2 linked regions of the Caenorhabditis elegans genome follow. The protein of the gene in region 2 purifies or fractionates together with the protein of the main gene of each other region. This does not show direct contact. Each region holds a gene or a part of one and is shown on either strand. Other genes may lie near its edges. The genes, in order: mps-1 and acp-2.

What was found.
Region 1: the proteins of acp-2 (region 2) and mps-1 purify together in Caenorhabditis elegans (affinity purification with western blotting, with the first as the bait; one study listed by BioGRID). This does not show direct contact.

Annotation. Positions count from the first base shown.
Region 1 is NC_003280.10:6,289,091-6,301,530, forward strand, and holds mps-1 (MiRP K channel accessory Subunit), read right to left. Parts: upstream 5,272-12,440; 5' UTR 5,062-5,271; coding exon 4,982-5,061; intron 4,882-4,981; coding exon 4,734-4,881; intron 4,532-4,733; coding exon 4,442-4,531; intron 4,395-4,441; coding exon 4,288-4,394; intron 4,178-4,287; coding exon 4,028-4,177; intron 3,761-4,027; coding exon 3,562-3,760; 3' UTR 3,435-3,561; coding exon of another isoform or gene 3,422-3,434; 3' UTR 3,369-3,421; downstream 1-3,368. Other genes in the region: upb-1 (Beta-ureidopropionase), read right to left, coding at 1-523, 738-846, 892-1,001; nyn-3 (RNase NYN domain-containing protein), read right to left, coding at 1,562-1,888, 1,934-2,148, 2,207-2,325, 2,421-2,531, 2,583-2,644, 2,700-2,771, 2,818-2,878, 3,257-3,368 and 1 more.
Region 2 is NC_003280.10:8,425,480-8,437,932, forward strand, and holds acp-2 (ACid Phosphatase family), read right to left. Parts: upstream 6,452-12,453; 5' UTR 6,435-6,451; coding exon 6,345-6,434; intron 6,301-6,344; coding exon 6,208-6,300; intron 6,161-6,207; coding exon 6,068-6,160; intron 6,022-6,067; coding exon 5,896-6,021; intron 5,843-5,895; coding exon 5,756-5,842; intron 5,668-5,755; coding exon 5,569-5,667; intron 5,516-5,568; coding exon 5,261-5,515; intron 5,007-5,260; coding exon 4,773-5,006; intron 4,722-4,772; coding exon 4,572-4,721; 3' UTR 4,480-4,571; downstream 1-4,479. Other genes in the region: F14E5.2 (Golgi apparatus protein 1 homolog), read right to left, coding at 1-136, 553-679, 731-1,351, 1,400-2,100, 2,310-2,396, 2,447-2,766, 2,835-3,129, 3,176-3,264 and 1 more; acp-4 (ACid Phosphatase family), read right to left, coding at 7,511-7,546, 7,839-7,899, 8,015-8,175, 8,221-8,313, 8,359-8,577, 8,623-8,715, 9,003-9,083, 9,163-9,403 and 1 more; acp-3 (ACid Phosphatase family), read right to left, coding at 9,919-9,993, 10,040-10,276, 10,325-10,385, 10,441-10,601, 10,650-10,742, 10,785-11,003, 11,047-11,139, 11,192-11,278 and 2 more.

The sequences.
Region 1 (12,440 bases), 2.1 Mb from region 2:
CGTACATCATCCAATTTTGTGGATGATGGCGTCCGTAACAAATATTGATTCCGATACGACCGTATTTGGTTTCAAAAACTGGATGACCAAGTGTGGACTCCATATAGTATGTAGATTCATTAAAATCTCCAACTCTTGGAATATGATTCTTTCTAGATCTTCCGATAACCCGTCCAGTATGAGAAATCACAACAGCTGTATTCCAAATAACATCATCCTTTTCTTCGTCTCTTTCCAAAATTGGAGAAATAATCACAATATCATGTTTCACGGCCAATTTAGAAAGGAATTGTGTAGTTGGTCCAGTGTATACAGATTCTGCGAATTCTGTCCATGGAAGACGTTCACGAGTACAGAATGCAAATGGCATTGTCCAAGCTTCTTGAAGTCCAATAACATTAGCTCCAGCGGAAGCAGCAGCTTCAATCATTGCTCCGACACGTTGATGAATTGCATCACGTTGTTCAACGACACTGTCTGTAGTTGGACGGTGGATTTTGTTTTGAATAGCGGCAACGCGAACCTTAAAAAATGGTAATATTTTCAAATATATATAACAAACTGGGACTCTCTTTTTCTCTTTTTCCACCTAATATTTGCAGTGCTCAAAGATTAAGAATGAAAAGCTAAATACGAGAAACAGACAGAACATCTCCCATAACAATATTCTTCCTTTCTACAAAATTGGTTATCAGAAAAGTTATTTAAAACAATTTAATTTTATAATTTCTGCTCACCAGTCTTGGAGCTCTTGTTTGTTCTTTTTGAGCGTCCACAATGTATCCAGACAGTTGGAAATCACCATCTTGTGCTAGTTTTTCCGCAATAGAAGAAATTTCCAGTGCTCTGAAAATAAAGTATTTGCGAATTTTCATTATATTTTAAACAAACCTGTATGGTCTACCATAAAGAATTCTTTCGACTTCATCTAAAGAAACTCCGTCCAATTTTTCAGCCAAAGCAGTTTCAACGCCATCGAATTGAGCCGGAGCTGCAGACATTTTTACCTGAATAAGATAAAATAAATATATAAAGATATGATGTTTCTAGTGAAAATGGACAAATTGCGATAAGACAAGATAAGAAAATGAATTCACATTAAAATTGAATGAACACTATTTATTGGGCAGTATTTGACCTTAAATTTATCGGAACTTGAATGCCATTTAAAGAGAAAGTGGTGTTATCAATTGGAAAATAGAATTTAATCAAGGAAAAAGAGAAACTTTTTTTCGGCGAACACCAAATTTTTTTTCAACTTCTTATCAAGACCGAAATGATAAGATGTATCAGACCAGCAAATTTGATTCTTCTGCGAATCTTCGAGAAAACAAGAAAGAGCAAAAAAGCAAAAGTATCTGATGTTAAAGAGATCCTAACTGAATAGTTTAAAGTCTCCTGTCCTCTCAGAACGACAGCTGTCTCAACACGTGCACCCGTCAGGTCATTCAAAGATATCAATCGAGAGATAGAAAAAAGAAAACATGCAAAAAATCGAAACGTTTATCGAATTGTTTGTAAAAATGAAACAGATCTCAATCAAAAATCAATATTTCGATTATTATTTCTTGATTTTATTTGCTTCTTCAGCCAGTGTGAACCATTGAAGCAACGACCCAAGGGAATGATCTCTTGGAAGTTCGATTTTTCCTTTATTAACATTCACGACAGATTGACTAGACTTTTCCGGGAGAGGCAATGGAGTTGGAACAAGAACATCATCACTTAGTTCATTGCTATTTGTTTGTTTCTCAGAAACTTCTACAACAGGCTCCATAACCCATTCTTGAAGTAAATCACATCTTCCTTCTCGTTTCGGATATTTTCTGTAGAATGCATCCGCAAATTTCTTCGGAGCAACATCTTCCACTCTTAATCCATGAAAACACTGAAATATTTCCTTATTTTTTGGCAATTGGACAAGTACACATACATTATCAATACATGGCAATTCTGCAACATCTCGAAACATTTTCCCGGCTGCATAACTCATTGAAATGAGAATAGCTTCAAGTTCAGCACACAAGTAAGCTCTCCTCTCATCAGTCACTTGTCGTTTCGAATTTTTCACAAGATTATAGTCCGGTTCATGAGGCAACGCAAATAGTCGTTGACGCAAAGATTCGGTTCGTTGACTAGTGTTTTCATCTGAAAATAACAAGATTCTAGATGATGTTCGATTATAAAAATAGAAATAATTTCTTACATGTGAATAGTTCGGGAGCATGTCGATAAAACCGATCTGATTGATATTCGACGAAATCGAGTGTTAGCGGTCGGAATTTTACATCGACTGTTCGGTTTCTGATGACGTGGTGGAAGTCACTAAAACCAGTGTAATATTAAATTTGAATTTAATGCATAGCTTTAAAAAAGCCGAAAAAGTCCTAGTCTAGTTTACAATATGATAGGAATGTTACCTGTAACACGGTTGATTGAGAATATCTTTGAACTTGTCTCCACTGACAATTGTACCTCCATGTCTGGCTGCATACGAAACCACATACAAATCATCATAATTGATAAACGCCCTGAAAAACACGTGACTTGCCCACATTGACTTCATTCCGACTCTGACTCACTTTCGTAGTCCCCGACCACTTCTAGCCGGCGTGAATGTCACAATACCAAGTTGCTCCAATTTCTGAGAAAATCAAAAATCAGAATCCAAAAAGCCTAGAGAACAAAGATTATCTTACTGCAAGTAGTTCCGCATTTTTCGAGTTATAATTATTAACATTGTTGTAAACAACAGGCAGGAAAACAGTCACCTGAAATTTGTAATTGGGAAATTAAAGAAAACTAAAAAATTATTACGTCAAATCTACGAATAAGAAGCCATCGGACAACGGAGACGAGGCCAGCACAATCCACGTGACTGAAAAAAATACAGAAATTTGTGCGTATTATTTTTTGTAATTCATTAAAAGAACAGAGCCACGACTTAATTTCCCACGTGTCCACGGAATCTCTACCATCTACCAGACATCTACCAAGGGCATGCTTTTATTCATTTCTGGCACAATTTGCATAAATATTTGCCAATTTCTGAACCAAACTGCTGTTTTTAGATCAAACTTATGACATAAGTTGGCGTCAAAAACCAAGGTGGGGCATTAAGATTGCTTGCTCAAAAGAGCTTGCTCAAAATCATCGAAATTTTAATGAGTGGACTGAAAACAAGCAATTTTCAACAATATCAGAAGTTTGTAATGATTGGAAGCATTGAATTGAGAAAATATTCTGGACAACCCACGTTCTAGCATATCCAGAGGCACTTCTTCCAATGTTGCATCCATCAATGACAAGCGGTCTCGATATTGCCTCTTGAGTCGGTGGTTTGAAATAAGCATTTTCTTTATCGGTTTCTAAAATACTTCATTTCTCTTTTTTTCAATTTTAACCAGAAAAAAAGAATTACTGTTAGTCATCATCCAATGTACATAAGCAGTGTAAATATACGACAAGTTGATTGAAAATCGAATCGATTTGACGATCACAGGACAAAATAATGAAGATGGTGAAGATAAATAAGTAATGCATATAAAAATGAGAACAAAATTACACGTCTAAGCTAAATGATTTATCGTCACAATCAACACGAGGAGTTCTCGATGACGTGGAGGCGTTTGTGTCAAGCGAATATGTTCGAGGATTTGATTTTATTGAATTCATATTTGGTTCAATCAATGAATTCATTGATGAAGATGACGAAGATGACATGGGAATTGCTGTTGAAGAGGAAATTGATGGCTTACGGCTGAAATATATTATTCTTTGAGGTTTCGTTTGAATTTGCTGAAATATGTTTTGTTATTGTATGAAATGTTTCATTTTTAAGTTTCATCTATTAGAACGCCGGTGTGGTCAAATTCAATACGATTGTGTTGTTATTTTGCATTTATAAATAAGACTTTCGACATTTTTCATAAACGTTTCACCGCTAGAATATTATAAAAACCACCAAAAAGCCATTTTTTAGTAGTGTCTCATATTTGGCTACTAATCTGTTTTCATCTTTTCTCACCTATCGGGCTCTATTAAATCCGGTGACGCAATTCCAAAATCGTAAATCATTGAGATTGCAGGAGTATGTGGACGATTTGGAAAATCAGAATGTATGCAGTCGTCAGCACTTACTACAATCTCCGGAATGTCTGATGTGACTGTTGATATGCTGTAATTATAATTATTCATTAAAGGTTATATAAAAGCAAATAGAAAACCATTTCTGTTAATTCTTTAGTTTCCCTGATTATAACTTCTCTAAAAAATTCTGCTAATTACCTGTAATGTCCTCTTGGTCTTGTTCCATTTGGAAGTGGCTTCCATTCGCTATCTTTTCGCTTTTCTGGTCCTTTCTCTTTGTTTTTGTTCACGAGCCATGCAGTCACCTACAACTTTGAATTAATTTTTTTTCGATGTATTTTCATAAATATACCTGGGTTTTTGCTCTCATCAATCGTCTTCTTTTACGTTCCTGTATTTCTAATTCTTCTCGAATTCGCATAGCATCAAGGAGCGAATCCATCTGAAATATAGAGAACTTCATGTAGCTTAATACTGAAGTTATTAGCATTTTTTCAAAATTTCTACATTTATTAAAATTTTGTAACAAAACTTCTGATTTGACCGGGTTTTTGTTTTCAAACAACATACAAAAACCTACGGTCCTCTCTAATTTCATACAATTTCATACAGTTCGATTGTCTACTGTGAAATTCCAAACGTACCTCAACTGTTGATTGTGTTCTCCGAATTGATCGTACCATTAGGAGAATAATGACAAATGAGAACATTATTAAAATTGATATTGTATAAAGTATTCGACCGAACTCATTTTCGTACTCTCTCATTCGGATTGCAGCCTTGTCAAGTACTCTGAAAATTGCCACTTTTCATTAAGAGATTTTCATACCAAAGTTTGACTTTTTGTTTGTCTTTTTTCCCCGATTAATTGTCACAAAATATCAAAACTCACTGGGGATCACAAGCATTTTTCAAAGTGATGCATGCTTCTCGAATGCCTTCTTGGCACGTGGGACTGATATTTTTGTGCATGGAAAGATTAGAGTACTGTCAGTCAGAGTTAATAACGCCAAAAACTAATCAATTAAAACGATCAGACAGAAAGTGAAACAAATGATTAGGTCAAATGAACTTTCAGAAATATGATGAGTTGTAGTAGGTGTCACACACTAATCGATGAGAAGAAGACGACGTGGTGCACAAACGAGCCCTGGCGCCACTGCTCTCGAAGACTGCTTTCCTCCCTTGATTTTCATGCATTTCCATAGCAGCACATATTTGTGTGCGCAGATTCTGGAAGAGACGCAGACATACTCACATGTTTTTTATTATCATCGGAGAGGACATTGAATGGAAGTATAGAGTATGGAGAAAGAAGGGATTAAAGTGTTTGTGTTTGATGTATACCAAAATAAAAACTGTCGCCATCGGAAATTGCCAAAAGTTGGCTTTTACTGAGAGACTCATTTACTAATGTACTTTTCACTAGTGTGTGACAAAGTCAAAATTTGAACCGAGATCCACTTCAAGAGCCACTTAAAGAGTTCAAGACCAGTTCAAACCAGTAATGACTTTATTCACACTTTCCTGATTTGGAGAATAACGAAAAAACATCAAACTCGAAACCATTACCTACACTGTTCTACTATTTGTTCTTACATATATTCATATGTAATCACCCATCAAGTCATAGCTCTTTTTAGTGAAATGATACACCAAAAAACTATCAACTGAATAAATATTTGTATTTATATGATGTTCATTTGGTTGACTCTGCTCTACCAGAAATTATCAAAGTTTCGAAAAGAAGGGAAACTAATCAACTGATTCAGATAACTACTGGGTGGTCCATAATTATGGCGACCACTTTACGGAACTGTAACTTTTTCTTGGACAGCGATCAAAACAAGTTAATATATACATTTTATTGAATAGAAAAAATCGAACATAATGACATATAAAACTTAACATTTACCTACAGCCGCACAGACCTCAAGAAACTCAAAAACCCAGTCGACCGTGGCGCGCAAGTAGGCTCAATTTAGCTTAATTGAGATTTTTAAATGAGATTTATCCAATGATTTATTTTCATTATTATATAATAAAAGTATCCTTGTTTCTAAAAAACATTTCATGAAAATTTTTTTGTGATTGGTTACCGGTGACGGAAGTGACATTTGGTGAAAATTTATAAAGTCAAAAAAGTAAGCTCCCCCAAATTTTGTGATTTTTCTTCCTTGCCAGCCAACGATCCTTTATGCTTAAGTTGACAATGTATCCATTTTAAATTTTTAAAACTTAAAATGGCAATTTGGTTTTCAATATCTTGATATATTCCACAGAATTCACTGTAACCCAATTGGAAGCGAAAAAAAGTGATCTCAACCGCGGTGTTTGTGTAGTTTTTGGACATTTTTTTCGGATCTTTCTATAGCCCCCATCATGCCACACAAAATGCGTGTGTGGCATGATGGGGGTTATAGAAAGAAGGCAGAAAGCCTATCAGGCAGTTGACAGGCACGCGAATGTGCGAAAAATTGAAAGGAAGGAAAGCGAATTAAGCAGTTGGTAAAGCATGAATTTGCTATGTTTCTAGTTCTGAAATATACGTTTCTTTGATAATGTTTCGTATCGGGCGCTCGTTGCTCTAGAGTCACTATCTAACTGTTCAAAGTTGATGTTTAACACTTCAAATTCAAACTAGACCAATGCCCGATTTAAAATGAATACAATGTTTCAGGTTAACGTGTTGAATCCCTGTTGGATAGATGGAAAATTATTGAGAAACTGTTTGGGTCATCGCTTCTTACACTCACACTCTCAACAACTGTTATGAACGACCAAAAAGCAAAGCAAAGTCAGATGACGTTGAAACAGACATAGAGAGTATTTGTAGCAGATTGAATATGGTAGAAATTGTTAAAAACAGACGGTGCATTCATATTTATTTCGAAAAAAAAAATAAAAAAAAATTTCATATTCGACAGAAACTGATATTAGTGATGTTACGAAGCACCAATTTCAAATTACATTTCTCTATAAAACAGAACTCCCATCCAGTCTCAATAATTCCAATTATTATCATAAAACATTTCCTTTTAAGTCATTAACCGACGGCGAGTACATCTCGCCTGAAATTTAATCTGAACATACATTACCAAAAACGACTCAGTTAAAGACTTTGACATTTCCGTAAACAACAAGCTGCATTTCCAAAAGTATATCGGTTATGTGTCAAACTCAGTTCTGCTCAAGTGTAGGCAGTTTCTCCGATTTTTTGATCAACACTCTGTTGAGATTCTACAGAAACGTTTTCCATCTTTCTTTGACCAAAAGTACAAAATTACTCCATCGAAACCAGCCATAGCATTTTTGGGTACCTTCGATTGAGCAGCCACATTCGACGAAGCACCTGGAAAACATTTTGATCGGAGAGTACCCAAAGTTCCAGTTATATAAACTAACCGCTCTGCCACTGACCATCCCACTGACCATCCCACTGACCATCCCACTGACCATGCCACTGACCATCCCACTGACTAATTCTAATTTATGAAAAAAATACATTTTCAAAATAGAGACGAATAAAATTTTAAAAATTTTATTGGTGTCTCTATTTTATCAAGCAAATATATTTTCAAAATAGAGACGAATAAAAATTTAATTTTTATTAGTGTCTCTATTTCATCAAGAAAATATATTTTCAAAATAGAGACGAATAAAAATTTAAAATTTTTATTAGTGTCTCTATTTTATAAAGAAAATACATTTTCACAATAGAGACGAATAAAAATTTAATTTTTATTGGTGTCTCTATTTTATAAAGAAAATACATTTTCAAAATAGAGACGAATAAAAATTTAAAATTTTTATTAGTGTCTCTAATTTATGAAAAAAATACATTTTCAAAATAGAGACGAATAAAAATTTAAAATTTTTATTAGTGTCTCTATTTTATAAAGAAAATACATTTTCACAATAGAGACGAATAAAAATTTAATTTTTATTGGTGTCTCTATTTTATAAAGAAAATACATTTTCAAAATAGAGACAAATAAAAATTTAAAATTTTTATTAGTGTCTCTATTTTATAAAGAGAATATATTTTTATTTCAAACTACCTTTATTGGACTTTGTCCATCCTCGACTTGCTCGTGTCCTCTGCATACCATCCAATTGTATCAGCTTCATCCAATGCACGTGCTCGTTGCTCGACAACGTCTATCCACACCTCATCCATATTGTTCCACTCTGAAAATGGTATTGTTTAGGAATTGTTGCACTTTTTAAACAATTATTTTATACGTAAAATGGTTTTTTCTCGCAGTTTATTTATTCAAAATTGAATTGTTTAATTTCTAAAAATAAAGACGAATTGCGAACTCAGTTAATTTTTGTTTTTGTATTCAAAATTTTTTCAAATTTCAAAAGACAAAATAAATTAACTTAGCTCTTGTCTTTGTTCTTATTGAAATTATTGCAAAAAGTTCTGAAAAGTAACTTTCAAACTTACGTTTCATCTGAACATGCCACTGACCATGCCACTTATGAGTAAAACTCATTTCTGCTCAAGTGCAGGCTGTTTCTCCGAATATTCGATTTTCTGTTATTCTACAGAAGAGTTATCCATCTTTCTTTAACCAAAAGTACAAAACTACTCCATCGAAACCAGCCATAGCATTTTTGGGTACCTTCGATTGAGCAGTCGACGAAGCACCTGGAAAACATTTTGATCGGAGAGTACCCAAAGTTCCAGGTATGAAAACTAACCGCTCTCCACTCTTTTCCCAGATCCGTGATCCTCTCGCTAAGAACTGAATAAATCCATAAAGCAGAACATTGATAAGAAAATTGAAGAACATAAGTTGAACGAAGCGAAGAAAGAGAGCAATCGCCGAATGTGGCTGCTCAAATGCGAGGAATCTGAAGAAATTGTGGAATTGCCATCGATAAGTGTGTTTGGAGGAGGTGAACTCCCAGCCGATCCAGGAACCAAAATTTATTTCAGTTTTGTCATCAATCTAGTTGAACTTTTAGGCACAGGCGCAATGCTTGTGGGCGGAAGCTTCAAAGAAATTAATTTTTTCCAAAATTTCAAAGCCCCGGTATTTTTTGATTAGGACTTGGCAAATCCCAAGGCCTTGTGGGCAAAACTGTCAAGCCACGCCTTGCCACGTTCACGTCACTACGATACTCAAATATTTAGCGAGAAATTCAAAAACTAGTTAACCAACAAATGGCGCAAGCAATGGAGGTGTCATATATCGAAAACATTTCAGCTTACCTCGTGCCTTGGACTGAGTCCAAAAGTTCGAGGAGTTGCAAATTGGAATCGAGGCTCCGCGTCATTTTGATGGGCTCTTGGAGTAGCCGGGGCATGTTGACCATCATTCGCCATATTCTGAAAAAAGAAACAAGCTGTCAGGAATAGGAAAAGTTTAAATAATCTCCCGACATCATTTTAATATTACTCACCTGAACAATAATTTTGTAGGGCTTCCAGTTCCCGTTCGTATCTTTGATCATTATGTCCAAATCCATGATATCACATTCCATGGTTGTTGTATTAATCAAAAATGATTTATAAATCAATATTGGTTTCATAATTCCACTTGGGCAAGTTTACAGCGTGGCAGCACGGTAACCTAGGAATAAAAAACTGTGAAAAGTTTTCTTTCATCTTTTAAGCAGAAATCCATTAAACCTGTGAAATTTTGTAACAAAAATTACCCAATAATTCAATTATGTTTGTAAATTAACTAGAAATCTTCAAAAATATACAAAAACACTCCCCGAAATGTCAAAACTATTGAGTGACTTTTTCAGTAGAAAATGGGGTGCAGCACTAATAGAGTCTGCAGTACTACTGGAGATGCAGCACTAATAGAGAATATACGGTATATGGTATTTGTGAAATTATATATGTAGTCGTTGTAGTCTGTGAAGTTTCCGCTTCTGGAGGGATAGTGAGTTGGGGTTAGTAGTGTAGGGATATAGTCGGGGTACTATAGTGGTACAATAGTAGTACGGTAGAAGTACTGTGAGATTACGGTAGTTTCAGAAAAAAAAATCGTTTTCTGCCCCAGAAGTCGGGGGCCGCGCCGAAAGAGCGGTCCACGGCTGGTAAATAAATAAATATATATATATATATATATAACTGCACTTTTCAGATGGTTTCTCATCTTCAGTCAAATTAATTATGTATTTATTTCTCAAAAGAAAACGAGATAATGTTGAAAAATGAGACGCAGAGAAAAGATGAAAGAAAACTTTTAACAGTTTTTTATTCCTAGGTTACCGTGCTGCCACGCTGTAAACTTGCCCAAGTGGAATTATGAAACCAATATTGATTTATAAATCATTTTTGATTAATACAACAACCATGGAATGTGATATCATGGATTTGGACATAATGATCAAAGATACGAACGGGAACTGGAAGCCCTACAAAATTATTGTTCAGGTGAGTAATATTAAAATGATGTCGGGAGATTATTTAAACTTTTCCTATTCCTGACAGCTTGTTTCTTTTTTCAGAATATGGCGAATGATGGTCAACATGCCCCGGCTACTCCAAGAGCCCATCAAAATGACGCGGAGCCTCGATTCCAATTTGCAACTCCTCGAACTTTTGGACTCAGTCAAGGCACGAGGTAAGCTGAAATGTTTTCGATATATGACACCTCCATTGCTTGCGCCATTTGTTGGTTAACTAGTTTTTGAATTTCTCGCTAAATATTTGAGTATCGTAGTGACGTGAATGTGGCAAGGCGTGGCTTGACAGTTTTGCCCACAAGACCTTGGGATTTGCCAAGTCCTAATCAAAAAATACCGGGGCTTTGAAATTTTGGAAAAAATTAATTTCTTTGAAGCTTCCGCCCACAAGCATTGCGCCTGTGCCTAAAAGTTCAACTAGATTGATGACAAAACTGAAATAAATTTTGGTTCCTGGATCGGCTGGGAGTTCACCTCCTCCAAACACACTTATCGATGGCAATTCCACAATTTCTTCAGATTCCTCGCATACCGTGAGTACTATTTCAGTTTATTAATCGCATTCAATCAAAATTTCCAGCACCTCTAACATTCAAGGATTGAAGAAGTTGAGGAAGTTGTTCAAGAAGTGGAGACTGCACCGACCGATGGAATGATTGATCAGCTTCAAGTGGGTCCAAATCCGTTGGTTGGTCTATTGGATGATGTTCATATGTTGGAAGTTCAACGTGATTCGGGTGTTGCCAACATACTCAATTCACCAGAGATTGTAGTTGACGATGATTTGGCTGAGAGGGCCATTCGAGATCAAATGTAGTCATTGGAGCAACAGGATGGCAACGATTACCCTAATCATCAAGGTCCAGAATCAAACAATACGCTCAGTGGACGCCCAATTCCTGAAGTGAGTCGTTGTTTCCTGATATATAGAAGCTATCTTTCTTCGGCTTGTATATGATTTATCAATTATTTTCGGTGTAAATATCCGATATTTCAGAAGAAGCGTCATTACAACGCCACTCGCAAAAGAGTCAACCGTCGTGATTCGACCATTGTGGAGCCAGAAGCCAAGTCGCGAAAGATGGACGAAAATTGGACAGGAGTTGGAACTGAATCCGAGTCGACTGACTGCGTTGAAACGACTGAAACTCGTTTCACTTGGTTTAAAGCTCAGACAAAACATCCCGGTTTAGCGAAATCCTTGCAATCTGAAGTGACGAAAGTTGGGTAAGTTATCAATACAGTTTTTCAGAACATTACCAAAGCTAAAAAGTTGTATTTCAGACTATCGATCGTGGATCTACAGCATTGCACCTTGCCATGCAAGAGTATAAATTATAACTTCCATTTTTATTCGTTCAAAGGACTCAGCAGAGAGGATTCGAAAAAATTCGAAGAGATGATTGATCAAAATTTCGTCAACAACTTTTGTGCAGAAAATCTTCTCAACAAAGAAGATAAGAATTTTTTTTATTATGATCTTGGATACAAGCAGGTGGTCTCTCTCTCAATGCTGGCCACGTAGTGAGTAATACTTAACTTTTAGTAAAAAACCTTAATTAAATTCAGCTTCAAAATCAAGAATGAGCAGCCACTATTGCATCCTTTGAAAATGCTTTTAAACAAGCAACTTCTCAAGAAAGCATTCGAAGATGCTGATACTCATGTTGAATTGAAAAAAGTAAGATTAGTATAAGTCTTTCTAAAACAGTGTTTATTTTCAGTATTTATCCAAAAATGGCTATTCCAAACTCGTTCAATGGATGGAGGAAATGACACAATAAAACTCGATTGATTTATTTAAAAATTAGATTTTTATAGTAATGAAGTTTGAATTAAGAAGTTCTCTTTTGTTAAAGTTAAGAATTCACACAATGATCTACCTTATCAAGCGCGAGAAACAATTTGGCAGTATT
Region 2 (12,453 bases):
GCTCGAAATTCAAGCGAAGACATTCAATTGTATCTTCGAACGTGTCGGCTTGATTACATTTATACATCTTAATTTCCTGTTCGCATTTTTGAGACAATTTGGGATCTGCATCAGCCATGTGTTCCTTGTCATCAAACTAAAAAAGAAGAGTTAGTGATGTTTTATTTCTGGACAAAATTGGTAATGCCGCGTTCAAAATGAGAAAAAAACCCAAAATTTTTCAAAAAACATTTATCTGAAAACTAAAAAAAGGGATTTTCTGCGTTTTGGACGCGGTATAAAAGTTAAATTTTTTACAAAATTCTCTAAAACGCATGCCAAGCGCCATAAAAATGATACGAACAAAACAGTGGAATCAGCAATCAACAAAACCAAACGAGGGACAAATTGCTAGTGAAGCCGAATTGGATTGAATTTTTAAAGTGAAAAATGTGATAGTGACTCAATAAGTAAATTTTTTAACATATGAAATTTCATGCAATAATTCAACAAATTTTCAATCCAATTCTCATGCATAAAGAACCTGACGGAACGACACCGAACAAAACTTACTTCTACCTGTTCTTGTTGAAGATAAGCCACTTTGAGTTGTTTCTTGCAGTCGTCTGTCAAATCCTTTGGCGATCCCAAAACCTTGTGCTCGAATCGGACTTCCGAAAGACAGCGAATGATTTCTCCTCTGAAAAATGTAAAATAGTTTCTCCTTGTTTTTTAATTTACTGTAACTCACTTATCGTTATTATGACCTTTGCAACTTTGTTCGATATCACTAGCACAAGCCTTTTGGAACTTATAACTGAAATGATAATCCCTCAATGAAATAAGCTCGAAATGATTGACATAGGATCGGCATTTGTTATTCATTTCTTTAGCATCCTTATTGTTCACTAGGCACTCCAATACATCTCCGTGATCAATTTCTTCATTAGCAAATTGCGCACAATGAGTGGAAATAACTGGCTTGCAGGCCTTGCTCAAAGCTCTATTCAATTTAGTGTCCTTTGCTTCCATTTCTGTGAATTTTGTTAGTTCGGCGAAACATTGCGGATGTTTTCGTTTAAAGTTGTCAGTTTCAAAGTTTTGTTGGAGACACATCATTTCTTCCGATGGTTTGACGTTATGGGAACAGAATTCTGAGAGCGCTTCACGACATGAATCCTCAATTTCCGGAATTAAATTGACACGGACGGCGCGAACATGAAGGAGTTGTCGAACTTGGGTTCCACACTTTACTGAAAGTGGATTTTGTTCGTCATATGCACTTCTGTAGAGACAGGCGAGCACTTGCGGTCCACGATCGACAGTATTATCAGAATTATGTTGTTGGTGCCAGTTATCGAGGGCGGAACATCTGAAATTTTAAGTTTTTTTAAATCAAGCTATTATTAAATGAACGTACCTGCTCACGGCTTCTTGATGACAAGCTTCATATAATTGTGGATCCATTGTCCAATCTCTAGCCATGAAATATTGAACTTCGAGCAGACGTTTTTCACATTCAGGAACCATATCAGGACTATCCACATTTCTCATGAGGCATGTTAAAGTAGCAGTTTCTGAAACTGCGTCTTGGGCACAAGGACCATCAATAAGACTTCTGCACGATCCATACAGAACTTTGTCGACTTTATAGTTTCTTCCGATATCTGCAACTTTAACGACTTGTTGAACAGCTTGAAGACATTGAGCTCCCAGTTTTAATGTTTCATTTCTGGATTCAGCATGCTCCATCAAACAGTGCAATGTTCTTCCTTCGGCCTCGATATCTCCACGTGGACTACACCATTTATCAATTTCTTGTGCACAGTTGAGTACAAGCTCTGGAGCCATTCGGAAGTGCTGCATCATCATTTGACGATGAGTAATCATTTCATGAGCACATTCTTTTGATGGTTGAACTTCCTTGTGTTCTGGTTGATTTGCTCCATTTTCAAGACACAAAAGGATCCATGCCAGATGGAAATGAGCGGCTGATTCAATTTGGTTCTGTGGTTCACACTTGTATCTGGTCAATTCTGGTTGACAAGCTTTTGTGAGTGGATGAGCCATACGGTAATCTCTTCCCATAAGATATGCTCTCTCGGCAAGCAAATTTCCACACTGAAAATTTTATTAATGTATAATTTTGAGTCGTTTTTTTTCTTTTTTCTTGAAAATATGCGATCCAGTTGTATAAATAAATGGATTACGGAATCTAAGGATTGTAATTTTTGCATTTTCAAGAATTCAATAGTCAAAAAAAACTGCACCTGTGTAAATAAACACATGAGAATTTTCGGAAAAACTAAAATATTCTGATAAAATCTCACCTCTGGATCCATGAATTTATCATTTCTATTCATCATGAGACATTCGAAAACCTTTCCTTCGCCAGATGGAACATCTTTACAGTATCTCTGAAAAAATGTTTTGCTCATTTATAAAATTCAAACTCCTAAAAACTTACCTCTCTGTCTAATCTGCAAGCAAAGAAGAGCGGTCTGTCTAAATGGAAATCATCAGCCTGCATCTCTGCAAGTCGGAGAACTTCATGTTTACAATCATCTCCAAGTATTTGCAATGCATCTGCTTGAGTCTTTGCATTTTTCACAACTTTATCCAAAATACATTCCAAAGCCATTCCTTGCGTATGTGCGACACGAACACCTTTGTGTGCTGGATCAGGAGTAAGGACGTTGCATTTGAATTTATCGAGAATAGCACGGCATTTTGTTACGAATGGACCAACGAGACGGAAATCCGAGAAAGCTAGTCTCTCTGTTCTGGCTTCAAAACGAAGAGAAATTTAAATGTATTTTGATGAAATTTTGTGTTTTTAAAATTACAATACTCACCTAAAAATGCGTGGCATTTTCCAGTCTCAGTAACATTTTTTGTGAATTCCATGAGACAACTGAGAGCAAATCCAGGTTGAGTTTGAGATGTACAAAGATTCATTGCAGCATTTCCCTTCAACTCTTCCTCGCAATATTGTTTGGCCGCGGATACGAAACGCTCGTCTTGTGTTATTTTGACCTTGAAATCCCAGACAAGTTGCTCACACTGTTCGGATAGAGTCGCTGTCTCAGAAAATCCGGCATCTTGAAGGCATTCAAGAATCGACATGTCGCTTGTTAGATCTACATCAGGCTGAAATATTTTATTTGCCTATCAATAGCTTTAATGTCAAACTCACTCGGCTACAATGTTTATGAATATCTGCTTTGCATGCATCGAAACTGGCCAACTTCTTATCTGGATCGTTCGCTACGTTTTGTTGTTGAGCTGAAATTTGAATTTATTTTGAATCAATTGAATATTCCTGACATACCTGTTGTCAGCCAACAAACCGACGCGAGTATCAGTGGAAACCTCCACATATTTCAGGTTCAGGACCCTGAAAATAAATTTTCAACGTGTGCAAATAGAAAAACATTCTGAAAGTGACGTCATTTGAGAAAAATGTCGAATTTTAATTGAAACGACAACAATTAGGTATATAAAAATGTGGTGAAAAGTGGACAAGTGTGCACACAGAAACCCTCTTTTTTGTCGGAAAATATAGAAGATAGAGAAAAAGACTTGAAAAAATAGAAAACGGATCCTGGAAAACAAATAGAAATCCGTTGGAACCTGGGCACGGAAACTTGCGGACCAGTGGTGTTTGCACACAATGCGCACTAAACAACGCGCAAACTATTGTCAGAAAACCTGACACGTCATCTTATTTAATGAAAATACTATGCCTCTGTAATTAAATATTATTTTTTGAGAATTCAACTAACTTTGCCTGAACTTGAAAACTGAGAACAAAAAAATTTCGTAATTTTTGCGTCAAAACTACAGTACCCGGTCTCGGCACGACAGTTTTTGTTAAATGCAAAAGGGCATGCCCCTTTAAACAGTACTGTAGTTTCGAATGTGTGTTTTTGCGGACTTTTATTGATTGATTTGAATACCGTATTCTTAGCACAAAATTTCGCATTTGGGGAATAATAATTAAACTTTTCAAAATAAATAATGTCCATTTTTGATGCTAATTCTCACAAATTTAGGTAGGAAAAAATACGCTAGAAAAACTAATGATTTGCCGAGAAATTACAACCGGGCCACGTGGCTATATTGTTAAAAACAAAACGCCCTCCGTCCACCCGAAACAATATTTTTGAGATAATATTATCGAACAGAACAGGCCGATCGGTAAACTAGGCATAAAAGGAGAGAGGACGAGAAATAGAAGAGAACAATGCGCTCAGGAAGGTGAAGAGACTTGTTTTGTCTTCTGCAGTCCGACAGAGAAAACTTACGGCATCAAGAGAAGGAGGATCTCGACGAATAGACCGATGCCCATTCGTCGTATAGTCGGTTAAGTGGAGATGACGAATTAATCGGACGAAAAAAAAAACGAAGAGAAACTTTTTTGGTTGTTAGGCTACGGAAGTTCAATATGCAAAGCTAGGTCCTTTTTCCATCGAAACCACAATTTATACTTGAGTATTTCACGCGGAACCTTCATTTAAATGGAATATAAATATCAATCGATTCACTTCATTCGCATGTATTTACAGAAAGAAACAGTATCAACTAATTGATTATTCTGGACCAGAGAATTCCGATACATGAAGATCTCTTCTAATATTATTAGGTGGAGAGCTTCTCGTGGTTCGAATCTTTAAATCAGATGCTTCACAACTCTCAGCTTCACCTTTGTTTCGATAATCATCGCAGCAGTCGAGGAAATCCTGAAATACATTTTTAATGTATGAATGAGAAAACAAAAGTTCAAAACAAACCTGTGCCAAACATCGTTCTCTTTTACAGTTTCTCACAAATTTGGTGACATCTATTAGCTCATGATCCTCGGCAGTGATCTCTTCTTTTTTATAGAAAACTTTCACAAAATATTTTCCATTATCCTTCCACGTTTCAAATATGATCATTGAGTTGTATTCGGGATATTTGTCGAGTCCAACAGTTTGTTCCAACACATTCAATGAATCGAGCACTCCCATTAGAATCCAGTCTTGCTGAAATATTTTATTATTAGGATTAATCAGCAAATACTGATTTTGAACTTGGAAATAACTCTAGAAACTCGAAAAAAGAGACACCAATGGTGTTTTAGATTAACCATATCATCCAAAAACCGAAAAGACATCCGAAAATATAATTCGATACAGAACGCGAAGAGGGCTAGTAAGGAGGCGAGTGACAAACGCCCTCGCCACGCCTCGACCTTATCGACATATCTGAGCCATGTTGTGTATATGATATAACATACCGTAGAGTACACTGCCAACTTCTCCCTTCTGGATACTCTTCCATCACTCTTGTGTTTCTCTTCTTTATCCATGTATATCTTATTTTTAATGTCCGTTAGCAACGTGTTCATAAGATTTCCAAATTTGACCTTCATCATTCGCGGGTCATGATGATTACCAGTTCCTGTGATAAACTGGGTCACATTCACATAAATACCCATGATTTCGTTTATATGTTGAGCGATGAGTGGTGGAAGAGGAATTCCATTTTTGTACTGAAAAAATAAATAAATGAACAGCTTAGACGCTGAATGAGTTTAAAATAAACCTCATTGATATGAGCTTCAATGGTGTGAAAAGGGTATTGCTTGAAAACTGGGTGAGTATATTTAAGACAGTTGGCAATGAATTCCTCGTAAATCGTCCACTGAAGAATAATCATTTTTGAAATGTTTGACTTTTAATAAAACTTTATTCAAATCCAATACCAATCTGAAAAGCTCTATATATCTTACCGGATGAAAACTTCCACCAAAATCTGGGCATTTCTCTTTGATCAGCTCTAACTCTCGGGGACAGTTAGCTTGGTCGTAGTTTAGTAGCTGAAATAAAAGGATAGATTAATCAGTTATTTTTATTTTCAATTTCTAAATACATTTTCTCCGATCTCCTCTGTAAGAACAGGAACATATAAATGCCTAGATGGATCTTCGAACATAGCCGCACCAACGGTTGACGCTGAGCTTAGACATCGATTTTTGTTTACGGATCTCCAATACATCTGAAATTTTGAAAAATATAATAAAATTTCTGAAAAATAACGATACCTGACGTGGCTTCAAATTTCCATCAACAAATTTCGAGTCTACATATCGAGTTTTTAAGAATCGTCCCAATCGAAATGAATTTTCGAAGCCTCTCTGAAATTACTATTTTCAAACTTAAATTAATAAAATAACAGTCTTACATCAGTCAATTCTCCTAGACCTCTTGGAAAGTTTGCAAGATAAGCAGGATCGCTGAGACTATTTGATGGGGCACGGGCTCCATGACGAAATAGCTAAGAATATTTATGTATGTAAAAGACGGATGACATTATCTTACCACTTGTGTGTAAATCCGTTTGGGGTTTTCAGAAAGTGCGATGGCGAATTGAACAATCAAACAAATGAACAAAAACCATGAAATCTTCATCTTTTGATTTCTCACTTCTGTAATATTAGAGATATAAAATAAAAATACATGAAAATTGTTTACCAACAAGCTTGAAGTTGAAAAATTACAAGAAATTGAAACATGAGATTGAAAAGCTGTGTTTCACGAGTAAAAAAAAACAAATAAATCAAATAAATCACCTTTCTGAAGCACGCGGAGGTCGCAGAGGTGGAAGTTTTTCTTAGATTTTCCAGTTTATTTATTTATTTAATAATAATTTCTCATAAAAGTACTTTCATGCAAGTGCCTGCCTGCCTTGCTTACGTGGCTTCTGCCAAAAGTACTCAGAAACAACTTCAACTTTGAACGGACTAAATAAATGAAAAACCAAAGTATCCAAAAAATCAGAATTAGAAGAAGATGAAGATATAGTGCAGAGATATCCAGGAACAAGAAAATTGCTGGTTATCTACCCTTATCTTTCATTTTCTTGCTACTATCTTATCTTTTGTTATAATTCCTACTGCACAAAGAATAAATAAAAAGTTCAACGTTCTGTTGAGAACATGCTAAGGATGTGTAAATGTTCAAGAATATCTTATATGAAGGTTGTATATGGGATATTCAAATCCAAAATGAAATGCCAACTGACCAAAATAAGGAATATGATTAAAAATGATTTCAAGAAAGCGCTGAGTCAATTCTGAAGAAACAATACATATTTTATTCCTTTTGTCAGCCAAAACGTATCATTCTCTTTTTTTCGAACAATTTGTTTAAAATGCATGAGTTTGCAAAGGCGCCAGTAAGTTTTGAAAATAGAGAAGACGAATTACAAATTAAAATATTATTTATAAAAAGTTCAACAATTATTTTCAAGTTCTTCCAGTGTTGCTCGGGTATTATCACAGCATTTATTCAAATTCTGAAAGATAAAATATCCTAAAAGTAATTTTTATGATTAGAACCCACCCTCAGAGAACATTTTTTCCCTGGGCATCCTGGAATGATACCAGTCAAATCTTGTAGAATATGGTCTTCCAGAGTAACCTCTTCCGGTTTATAGTAAAACTTCACGAATGGCTTTTCATTCTCACTCCATAGCTCCATTAGAATCATTGCATTGTAGTTTGGTTCTTCTTTAGGACCAACTGTTTGGATATGATTTAACCAGCCGTGGACCGCACCTACGGCGCGGCCCCCGACTTTTTTGAGAAAACACATTAGATAAACGGTGTCTATCGCGGACCTCGATCGATGTCTGCTGCGCATTTAGCATAAGGTTTCCCAAAATTTCGTTGCTCTGATCAGAGATCAAACTACATAGGGACAGAAGGACACGCGCTTTATATATAGTAAATGATACACCGAAAGCATCTAAAACACCTCCCAGCACCCAATCTTGCTGAAACGACAGATTTTTGGAAGAACAAGCTAACTCACAGTTGAATAAACTTTGAATTTTAAACTTTCTTTATTCGCAAGATTGTTTGTCCAAGCAGTTCTGAAATTAAATGAAATACGAATGATCTCTTGGTATCTAAAAAAATTTCGGAACGAGGAAACTCACACATCCGCCCTCCCGGCCGGATTCCCCGAAAATTCCTCTAAAAACTAACTTTAAATTCTCCAACAGTGTATCAATAAGCACGCCGAACCGAAACTTAATAATTACTGGTTTCCCAATGCCGTTTTTTAAATTTCGATATTTCATATATTCTTCAGATATGACTTCGATGTTTTCACAAATGAAATCCGGCACGGGAACATTGTTCTTATACTGAAAAAGATTGAATCATCAGATTAAAAATGAAGGAAGAGTTACGTCATTGATGTACTTGTCAGAATCATCGATACTGATTTTCTGGAAAATTGGATGATTTGAACCAGCACACTCATACATTATTGCACTTTCGTCCTAAAAATTATCTTCCCGAAGTTTTTCAAAATTGGAAAGATATACACGATGATTGTCAGCTTCTAGGTTTGGACAAGCTTTTTCCATTGCACTCTCAAAGATGTCACAAGAATGAACTGGAGTATTCAACAATTTATCTTGATTTGCATGGTTTGTCGTAATAGGCACAGTCAGCCATTTTCGTTCTTCCGTCTTAAACATGCCTGCAGCAACAGCAGATGCAGTTGCTAAGCATCTTTCTACAGCACGGAATCTCCATTCCATCTGATAAAGTTATGTAACTGGTAGTAAATTTGATGAACTATTTACCTCACTAGGTTTCATAAAATCACTCAAAAATCCCGTGCCGACATATCGTTTCTTGAGAAATCTTCCTAACATAAATGAGTGATTGTATCCTCGCTGAAAATAATTGCAAATGTGGAGAGCCTTAAATATTATTAGTTAAAGGCAATTAGAAGTTTACACTTTGGGTGTATCCTTTTGAGGAGTTTAGGTGATCTATCGGAGTCTGAATAAGCTAACACGATCAAGAGTAGAAAACATGTCCGAAAATCTGACATTAGGTGTTGGCTACTAGTGATGGACTCTATGAAAGTGTATGACAAAATATTGTTGCTCGATTTGTTTATCAATATTCAGTTAAATGTTCAAAAACTATATTTAAAATTCTAGCTGTACAGGCTTACATCAGTTAACTGTCCTCTGCCTCTCGGATAATACGTGTTGTTCGCGTTTTTGCTGGGAGCTCGTGAGCCATGCCGAAAGATCTGAAATTGTATGAAGGTAGGATTGCAAATATAACAGTTCAGAATAATGAAAAGATTGATTGATAAAATTTGAACGTACGGTATGTGCAAAAATCAACCTCCTTATCGGGTTAGTTTGCGTGACTGGATAAGGAGTTGAAGAAGTGTGGACATGCACTTTTGTAGATTTTTCATGAGTTTTTGTTGAAGAAATAAATGGATCTTTTGTTGTAGAATTTGCAAGATGAGCTTGAGGATTTATGTCGGAAGGTTCAGAGTAATCATAAAATAGAAGAAAAAGTGCAATTGCAATGACAAACGCAGACAAAAGTATAAACATACTGAAAGTTAACTTTTTTTTTTCAGATTTTCAACGTCTATAACTTACATCATATATCTAAATCTTTTTCCAGGAATATGTTTTCCACTTTGTTTTGCCGATTTGACATCCATTTTTGTTTGTGGAATTGAAACATCAATGGGACTGCAAGCCTTTTTAGCACTCATTTTTAATTTGAGAAAACAGATTAAATAAACATGAAAGCCAACTAGATAGGATAAAATAGTAAATAATGATTGAGTTGTCTCATTCAAAGGATGAAAAAGAGACGTCAGTTGAAAAAATTCAATTAGTTTATTGCAAAGGTCATTCTGAAACACATTTTTATATAGATATTTTATTTCAATTATTTGGTATCGCCTCTTCCTTATATTCGCCTCTTCCTTATATTCTTCGCGACTTCCACTTCCATACGCCCAAAAAGTGGTGCGTGAGGTGCTAGGCTCTTATTTTGAATTTTAGTTTATAATGAAATATTTATTTTGGGATCTCGAGTTCAACAGGTTCCAATAGTTTTCAAATCCGTGAATCACATAGCTCTTGAAGATCTTCCAGCTCTCCACGTGTATCGTTGCAACAGCTTTTAAATTTCTGAATATCGTTTCAGAATTTCGATGTTTGAAATAATTAGTATTACCTTCAATGCGCACTCTTTTCCAGAACATCCTGGGATGATATCCGTCAAATCTTGCAGAACATGATTTTCAAGAGTAATCTCCTCCGGTTTATAGTAGAACTTTACAATCGGTTTTCCATTTTTCTTCCACAATTCCATAATAATCATTGTATTATAGTTTGGTTCTTCTTTGGATTTTGATTGAATATGATCAAGAACACCAAATGCATCTAGAACTCCTCCCAATAACCAGTCTTGCTGAAAATACACTGAACTATAAAGAAAGACACAACAGACAATGATTACCGATGAATAAACTTTAAACTTCAAACTTTTTATACGAGCTAGATGGTGTTTCCAGGCATTTCTAAATATAAGTAGTTTGTTTTTCAAATAACATCAGATTAGGTTTTAAAACTTGCACTAAGTTTTCCAACAGTGTATGCACAAGGAATCCAAATCTTGCTTTAATCATTTTGCGATTCCCGATTCCGTTTTGAAAATTTCGAACTTTCAGATATTCTTCGGAAATTGTTTTGAAATTATCACGAACAAATTCCGGCACCGGAACATGGTTCCTGTACTAAAATCATAGCATATTAACTCAACTATGATCATTTGGGCATTTTACCTCATTAATATATCTGTCACAGTCATCTATTTTTATTTCTTGAAATATTGAATGATTCCCTCCCATACATTCGTACAATACGGCGTACATTTCCTAAAGTTTTTATTTTGTCAATTAAATAAAAAGCCAACTTACATCTCTGTTCACTTTTTCAGTTTTCGGACATTGTTTTATTCTAGAATTTCTTGTGAAGTTACATCCTCGAATGGGGAGATTTAATAGTACATCGTTTATACCAAGATTTGTTACTATGGGAACAGTCAACCAAATCTGGTTTTCTGTTTTGAACATTCCAGCGGCAACGGTAGAAGCTGTACTCAAGCAACGATTTATGTCACGTGATCTCCATTCCATCTAAAAAACAAATAATTTTATTTTGAAAATAATCGGAGAGAACCTCATTCGGCTTCACGAAAGAACTCAAAAATCCAGTGTCAACATATCGTTTTTTAAGAAATCTACCCATCATGAACGAGTGATTGTATCCTTGCTTAAATTACTTTAAAATTGCAAAACTTTACGATTCTTAACTATTATATTACGTCTGTCAGTTGTCCATAATCTCGCGGAAAGAACTTCGTGTCCGTTTGTTTTTCATTTCCTGGCGCTCTGGCTCCATGTCGGAAAATCTGAAAAGCTTTCATTGGAAGCTTATGCATTTGATAAATGTAGATATGCATAGATGAAAGATTATTCACTCACAACTTGAGTAAACAAAAGGGAGCCGTCCTGAACCATCTGAGCAGTTGTTGGCGTTGAGCCTGGAGATGAGAAAAAGTAATAGAAAATGAAAAAACCAATAATGGTGGCGACAACTGCTGATACAAGCCCGACGATTCTGAAATTGATCCAATTTTCAGGTTACACTTTATAAAAAATACTGTAACTCACATGAACAACTTTTTCTTCCGATTGCCACTCGGATTTGTGTCCTGCTTTTCAGTTTCAGGATCAGGCATCTGCAGTTGTGCCGTTGAATGGTCATTTAAACTGGTATCAATGCTCATTTTTCATTTGAGAATTAATGGAGAAGCCAAGAATTCTAAGAAATCAGAGAATAAATTGAAAATCACGGCTAGGGTTTGTTTCGCAGAAAGAAGTAGGGCAACACGAGTAGATTGAATATTTTTTGCGCTGCTATAAGCCTTCAGTCCTCCCACCGATCGTAGAATCTCTGATACAAATTGAACTATTTTCTATGTTGTTCGTCGCAACAAGTAGAGAATACTGTGGAAGACTAATTTATTAAGAAAGTAAAATCAGGAATAAAATAAATCATCAAAAGTTCAGTTCTCTTTTTACACGTCTTGGCTAGGGATGGATGAAGATTTCAGACAACTTGTGTTGCAAAGCCATACTGCAGACCCCCGCCAAGGGCACTATCTGGTATCATAACTTGTAGAGAACTGATCGGCTTGAATCGTTCGGAACCTTCGAGAATATGCAATGGAAAACCCGGAGGAGGAGCAGCATTCACATTGACATCGGAATACCAGAGAATGGTGCCATTATTTAGTCCCAAAGTTCAATAATGTTGAAGCTATTATCCGAAATGAAAAAAAAAAGATTCTGCCAGAACACGAACAAATTGTTGCTTTTTTCTACTTCCGATGTTCATTTTTTGTAATCTCCAATTATTTATTTACTAGTGAGCAAACTTTATTTCTTTATCAAATCGGTAATTACAGTGAGACTTCGCTGAATTTGCTTCTCTCCAATAAATATTCCTGCAAATAAGATTTTTTACATTTTGAAAGAAATAAGCTAACACACTTGTGCCAACCTGAAAGTGAATCTGTTTACC